2 linked regions of the Oryctolagus cuniculus genome follow. The main gene of each other region encodes a partner of the protein of the gene in region 2 in a complex. Links are inferred from orthologs where the notes say so. Each region holds a gene or a part of one and is shown on either strand. Other genes may lie near its edges. The genes, in order: COQ4 and COQ7.

The links.
Region 1: COQ7 (region 2) and COQ4 share a complex: the UniProt entries of both Homo sapiens proteins name them as parts of the multi-subunit COQ enzyme complex. The link is inferred for Oryctolagus cuniculus from reciprocal best matches to the Homo sapiens genes COQ7 and COQ4.

What each region holds. Positions count from the first base shown.
Region 1 is NC_091432.1:231,640,809-231,644,613, reverse strand, and holds the end of COQ4 (ubiquinone biosynthesis protein COQ4 homolog, mitochondrial), read right to left. Parts: intron 1,865-3,805; coding exon 1,735-1,864; intron 1,277-1,734; coding exon 1,183-1,276; intron 768-1,182; coding exon 590-767; 3' UTR 258-589; downstream 1-257. UniProt on the Homo sapiens protein: Lyase that catalyzes the C1-decarboxylation of 4-hydroxy-3-methoxy-5-(all-trans-decaprenyl)benzoic acid into 2-methoxy-6-(all-trans-decaprenyl)phenol during ubiquinone biosynthesis.
Region 2 is NC_091450.1:21,341,803-21,345,086, forward strand, and holds the end of COQ7 (5-demethoxyubiquinone hydroxylase, mitochondrial), read right to left. Parts: intron 3,078-3,284; coding exon 2,938-3,077; exon of another isoform or gene 2,348-2,937; intron 1,846-2,347; exon of another isoform or gene 1,401-1,845; coding exon 1,332-1,400; intron 930-1,331; coding exon 852-929; 3' UTR 707-851; downstream 1-706. UniProt on the Homo sapiens protein: Catalyzes the hydroxylation of the 5-methoxy-2-methyl-3-(all-trans-polyprenyl)benzoquinone at the C6 position and participates in the biosynthesis of ubiquinone.

The sequences.
Region 1 (3,805 bases), on a different chromosome or scaffold from region 2:
GGAAGGCCCAGGGCAGCTCCGGGGGTGCTGTTTGTGACCCCTTTCATGGTGAAGGAGCGGGCGTTCAGAAAGCACAAAGAACTTGCTTTCTCTTCCGCTAGAACCCGGAGGAGCAGCTGGGAATGTGAACCCCACTCAGCCGGACCTCAGACCACAGGAGCGGGGACGAGCAGGGGAAGCTCAGGTTGGGACAGGGTTTCCACCTGCAGCGCTGGGGGGCTGCGGCCAGCACTAGGTGGAGGCAGGGCCGGCAGACGTTTGCACTGTGGGGGGAGCCTTTATTGGGACGGCAGACTCGCCCCCACCCCCACCTCTGTCTTCCCAGGCCTCTGGAACTGGGTACAGCCAGGACACGCAGGACAGCAGGGCTGGCGGGGAGGGGCAGGAGCAGGCCTGAGACACGTCTGTTCCTCACTCACTCCCAGCCCCCCGGGAGCCCCACTGTGCTGCCCGCTTCCTCCTGGACTGGCCCTCAAGGCCACTCAGTGGAGATAATGACAACTAAGATGAATGATGTCCAAGGGTCAGCGTTCACCACGAAGGAACAGAGGTGGGGGGGGGGGCAGGCCAGACCCTGCTGCTCAGCAGCTCAGGCCTGGGCCAGGCGCTGGACGTCCCTGGGGGGGGCCGTGATGCCCAGCTCCGCCCGCAGAGCGCTCAGGGGCTGCTCCCAGCGCCGCTCGTAGTACAGGTTGAGGACACACGGGGCCCTGCGCCCGTTCTGCACCGCCCAGGGGATCAGCTCCGAGACCAGCACGCGCAGGCGCCTGCGGACAGCAGAGGAGACAGCATGAGGCCCGAGGCCGGCAGCTCTGGGCACCCCACCGCTCAGTGCGCTTCCTGCCCGAGAGGAGGCAGCCATCGATGCCCACCTCTCAGGTGCGGGAACAGAAACTCGGCGAGGTCGATCTTATGCCCAAAGCCACACCTCCCAGACGTGCCGAGGCCCAGACTTCAACTGAGGGCTACACAACTCCGGAACCCGAACTTGCTTTCCCCTGACACCAGTCATTCTGACCCAGCCTGGGCTCCAGGCTCCGTCCACTGCCCTGGAGACACCAGGCCGCCCTCATCCCTGCCTCGTCCTTTCCACCACTGCTTCCTGGAAAACCACCAGGGCTGCTCAGGGGCCGCGCCCTCCCCATTCCCAAGTCTCCACGTCCCGCCCCCTTGAACACGTACGGAGCGCTGAGCCGGATCGGGCCAAAGAGTGCACCCAGGATGCACATGGGCAAGCCGGTCTGCACAGCCTCAAACCACTTCACCACGATCTCCCCTGGGGGTGAGGGACAGGGTGGGAGGTGAGCAGGGCTAGGAGAGGCCAGAGGTGCCGCTGGTAGGGCCTGGAGAGGCGTCTGCTCCTCTCCAGTCTCTACCAGGGATCAGCTGTGCCCAGTCCTGGCCTGTGCAGGGCCCTGGGGCTCGGCCTGGGGCAGGGGGTCAAAGGCTAGCACTTGGAAAGGTCAGAATGCGAGGACTGAGAGGCCCAGCCGGGGAGCTGCAGGGGGTTCAGAGCGGGGAGCTCTGTGTGGACACTGTGACATCGGTGCAGAAGCCAGAAGGGGCAGACGGGATGGAGGAGAGGGCTGAGCGGTAGAGATGCCACGGAGATGTTTGGGCAGAGCAGGAAGCAAGACACTGAGCCAGCCGGTGGTGGGCGGGGCTGGAGCCGGAGGCGCTGGGGAGCCCCGCCCCCGACCCCGCCACGCGGCCGGCTGGCTGCCACTCACTCACCCAGAATGTTGGTGGGCATCCCCAGCAGGGTGTGGAGCATGTCGTGCACCTCCCGGTACCGCTGGATCACGTACGCCAGCTCCTCGTCGTCCACGAAGCGGGTGGGCGCTCGGGTGTCTGGGGAGACCCTCTGACAGCCGGGAGCCTCCCCTAGACCTCCTCCCACTCTGCCCAGGGCCCACCTCTCCAGCCTCCCCTCGAACTCCTCCCACCCAACGCAGCTCCCCCCAGAAAGCTTGCAGCTTCTGTGCACCCCTGCCAGCAGGGGAGGCTTGGGCAGGGCAGGCGGGGAGACGGCACCCCTCTGCTTACTCCAAATCACACATCAGCTTTGCATCCTGTTGGAAGCCCTAGCAAAGGGCCCCAGGAACGGGCAGCTGTTTAATGGGTACAGAGTTTGTGTTTGCCAAATGACGACAGCCTGGAGGCCCACGGCAGCACAGCCTGAGCGCACCTAACACGACTCAGCTTCAGGCAATCGATCTGGGCAGGCCTGTTGCAGCGGGGCAAGCCACCACTCGTGACACCCACATCCCCCATCAGAGCAGTGCTTTGGGTCCTGGCTGCTCTGCTTCCAATCCAGCTCCCTGCTAACCCACCTGGGGAGCCACGGCTGATGGCCCGAGTCCTTGGGCTCCTGCCACCCATGTGGGAGACCTGGCTGGAGTCCCTGGTTCCTGCCCAGGACAGACTCAGCCCTGGGTGTTGTAGGCCTCTAGGGAGTAAACTGGTGGGTAGAAGCTCTCCTCTGTTACTCTGCCTTTCAAGTAAATAAGTCAACAGCTTAAACAAAAACAACTAAGAACAGGCCTGTAGGCCCCTGATCCTCAGTACAGGCTGCTGTCTGGAGTGCTCTCTCCCACGACCCCGTCTTCACCTGACAGTCCCTACTTCTCACGCATGCCCTGGTCAGGTTTCCCCCACCCGGGGGGATGTCCCTGACCTTGACTGACAGGTGTGGGGGCTCTGGCAGCCTCTGTACCTTGACTGACAGGTGCGGGGGGGGGGCCCTCTGGCAGCCTCTGTACCTTGACTGACAGGTGCGGGGGGGGGGGGCTCTGGCAGCCTTGACCTTGACTGACAGGTGGGGGGAGGGCTCTGGCAGCCTTGACCTTGACTGACAGGTGCGGGGGGGGGGGCTCTGGCAGCCTCTGTACCTTGCTGTTTAGTGTGCGTGACTCATGTCTCCTACACCTGTGCTGTCCAGGATGGCAGACGTCAGCCCAATGTGGCCACTGAGCCTCGAATTGGGACAAATGCCAACTGGGGAGTTTTGTGTGCACGCAGTACACGGGAGACTTCAGACTGAAGCATGAAGATGAAACCGCAGCAATTTAAAAATACCACTTACTTAAACGGTATTATTTTAGATATATTCAACAACATGTATTATTACAACTAACCCTGAGACAGCCGCTGGCACGAGTTATGACACTGCTTGGACATCCACATCCCAAACCGCAATGCCTGGGTTCAGGTCCCGGCCTCCTGCTAACTCTGGCAGGCGGCGGGGGGCCCAGGCAGTCAGGCCCTGCCATCCACCTGGAGGACCTGCACAGAGTTCCTGGCTCCTGGCTTTGGCCTGGCCCAGTCCCTGGTTACCACAGGCATTTAGGGGCTACATCAGCAGATGGAAGAGCTCTCTTCTAGTCTCTGTGTCTCTCTGTCTCTCAAATAAAAACAGGGGCCCGTTCTATGGCACAGTGGGCAAAGCTGCTGACTGTGATGTCAGCATCCCGTGTGGGCACTGGCTGGTGTCCCGGCTGCTCCACTGCTGATCCAGCGCCCTGCTGGTGGCCTGGGAAAAGCAGCAGCAGATGGCCCAAGTGTTTGGGTCCTGCCACCCACATGGGGGACCTGGATGAAGCTCCTGATTCCCGGCTTCAGTCTGGCCCAGTGCTGGCTGGTGCGGCCATCTGGGGGGTGAACCACCAGATGGAAGATCTCTCCTCTTTCTCTAACTGCCTTTCAAATAAATAAATATTTTTTAAAGTTTATTTAATATATAAAAAATGTAAAAATACAATCAACCTTCAATCCTGTTTCTTTGTGCTCTTATCCTCTTATTAAA
Region 2 (3,284 bases):
AACCTAAAGTGCTGTGCCTGCCCCTGGGCATCCAGCCTGCTCCTGAGGACCCTATCCCCACCCATCACCTTGGGGGACAAGGATTTTCACATGACGTAGGGAGGTCACATCCAAACCACAGCACCCTCCCACCCACGGTTCAAGACAAACAGTGACCCTTAGGGCTTGCGTAGGACTTGTCTCCCCAGAACTGCAAGCCTCTGACACTCTGCTGTCTTCCTGTCAGTGGTCAGTGGATTAGGGTGGAGCCTTGGTCTAATCACGGCGTCTGATAGGTGGGTCAGGGGTGGTCTTCAGGCCACCGGGGGTGTGTCCTCCTGTGAAAGGGTGGATCACTGAAGTTCTGGTTCTGCCTCACTGTTCCTCCACACCTGCCGTGAGGAGCTCCCCGCAGACACTGGACGATGGGACCGCCCAGCCCTGAACTGCAGCCTGCAAACTGGATGGGGACAAGCCTTTCCCTCCCAATGAGCTCCTCTTGGGTGTTTTGGTTAAAGTAACAAAACGTGATCTGATACAGTGACCATGTACTGATGGACTTCCTATTCGTGCTTGGTCAGTCTTAAACCCCTCCTAGTTTTAAATTTCTTTTCATTTTCAGTAAACTCAAGTTTGACTGCTGGAGGAGAAATCGGGAGAGCACACAACCAGTAGCTTCACCTGCTGTACTGGAACAGCGCAGGGAACTGTCAGCCTCACAGCGAGAGCAAAAGCAACACCGAACTCTTTATTAATGCAAAAACAGGACAGAAACAACAGAATTAACAATGAGGACTGTACAGCTCCTTCTCCGTCCAAGCCACTGGCGAAATGGCTGTCCCGCCTCCCCGAGCTGGCTACGGGGACACAGCTCAGAGTCTCTCTGACAAAGAGATGGCCACGCTGCAGCCGGCTTGGATGATGCTCTTCAGGACGGTGTACGCCGGGGCCTGCGGCACAGCAAGAGATGAAAGAAAGGCATCACGTGCTTGTCTTGTACTCGGACGACCCAGGGCTAGTGGGGCAGGGCTTGGGGTTCTCTGGGTAACAGACTCGAGAAACACTTTAATTTGGGGGCAGATACAGCTGTGCCAGGGCCTAGTTGTGTGCCAGGGAAAGGGAGAGAGGCCTCTGCTCCGGCCCAAACCCTGGAATCAGCTGGTGTCTCACAGCGGAGGAGAAAGGTGCCCTGGGCCCAGAGGATACACGGCCCTCCCGGGAGCAGTGGGGCTGCCTGTCTGTCACAGCGACCTGGCCCCTTTCTTCCCGCGGGCTGCCATGTTAAGGTTTACTTTCCTGGGACCAGAAACCTTTGCCCTTAACCTGCAAGCACAAGGAAAGGCAGGCCCTACCCGCTCTGCGTCGTGCTCAAGGCCGAGGTCGTGGTGCTCAAGCTCTTCGTCCCGGAACTTCCGTATCACCTGGTCAAACAGAAGGCAGGCGGCGCAGCTCGCACCCGACTCACCTGCTCATCGGTCTCACGGAGAGGCCGAGGCCCCAGGTTAGCCCAAGACAGCCGCAGGCAAACGCTGCCTGCTAAGGGCTGCTCACACAGGCTCCACTGCAACCACTCGGTTCTGCCCTGGTGGTGGGGAGGGAGGCAGCCTAGACACGCAAACAAGTGGGTGTGGCTGTTAAATCTTGATTTATAGAGACAGGTGGTCCGATGCAGGCCAGTTTGCCAACCTCTGATCTGTTAAAAGACTAAAGAGGGCCCAGTGCTGTGGCGTAGCAGGTTAAGCTGCCGCCTGAGACAATGGCATCCATATGAGCACAGGTTCAAGTCCCAGCTGCTCCTCTTCCAATCCAGCTCTCTGCTAATAGGCCTGGGCAAAGCAGCAGAAGATGGCTCAAGTGCTTGGGCCCCTGCACCCACGTGGGAGACCCAGAAGAAGCTCCTGACTCCTGGCTTCAGCCTAGTCCAGCCCTGGCCGTGGCAGCTATCTGGGGAGTAAACCAGGAGACAGAAGCTCATCTGTGTCTCTCTCCCCTCTCTGTAACTCCTTCAAATAAATAAATCTTAAAAAAAAAAAAAAAAAAAAAAGACTAAAGAGCAGGGCATTTAGCCAGCAGTTAGAACCTCAGTTAAGATTCCATCTTTTTTTTTTTTTTTTTAAAGATTTATTTATTTGAAAGTCAGAGTTACAGAAAGAAGGAGAGGCAGAGAGAGAGAGGGAGAGACAAGAGAGGTCTTTTATCTGATGGTTCACTCCCCAATTAGCTGCAACAGCTGGAGCTGCGCCAATCCGAAGCCAGAAGCCAGGAGCTTCTTCCTGGTCTCTCATGTGGGTGCAGGGGCCCAAGGACTTGGGCCATCTTCCACTGCTTTCCCAGGCCACAGCAGAGAGCTGGATCGGAAGTGGAGCACTTGGGTCTCGAACCGGCGTCCATATGGGATGCCGGCGCTTCAGGCCAGGGTGTTAACCCGCTGCGCCACAGCGCCGGCCCCAGGATTCCATCTTAAATAAATCCCATGCTTGGCTCCTGCTCCTGCCTCCAGCTTCCTGCCAGTGCAGCTCCTGGGAGGCAGCAGTGAGGGCTCAAGTAACGGGGCTCCTGACACCCACCCGGGAGACCTGGCTGGAGTTCCTGGCTCCCAGCTTTGGCCCCTGCCCAGCCGTGGTCACTGTGAGCATTTGGCAGGGAACCAGGGGACAGGAACTCACTCTGTCCCCGTGTTTCTTTCAAATAAGTAAGTAAACAGTTCCCTTATTTGCTGTGAAAAATCATCTGTGGCTATCCATTCATTCACGTAAGGGCGTCGCACTCACAGCATTGTACCAGTGATATGGAGTGCAGGGGTGGACACAGGCAGGCCTCGGGGCAGGCGACAGTGGCTCGAGTCCTGGCTCCACGCTCGCTGTGTGACCAGGGCAGACAGCTTTCCTTCTCTGTGCCTCCATGTGCTCCGGGGCGCTGCCCCAGACCCCCACGCCCTTCCCGAGGACCATCAAGTACCTGCAGCAGCTCCCCGTATTTCGCAGGGTCCTCCTCCACCAGCGTCCTGATCTGGTTGTTGTAGTGGTGAGCTATGGATTCCTCCACCGCCACCGTGCAGGCCATGGCGCCCTCCTTCCCCAGCAGGGCGGTTCCGGCCCCTGAAACAGCCACAGCCAGAGCGGTCAGGGATGGGGCGGCCACCGCGGGAAAGGGAGCCGGTCTGAGGCCGGGCTGCTCGCCCTCGGGGCCGCTGACATCTGGGGCTGCACGGATCTTTGCTGAGGAGGCTGTGCTGGGCACCGCAGGACATCCTACAGCGTCCCCGACCTCTGCCCCTCACTGTCAGCAGCACCTCTGAGAGGATC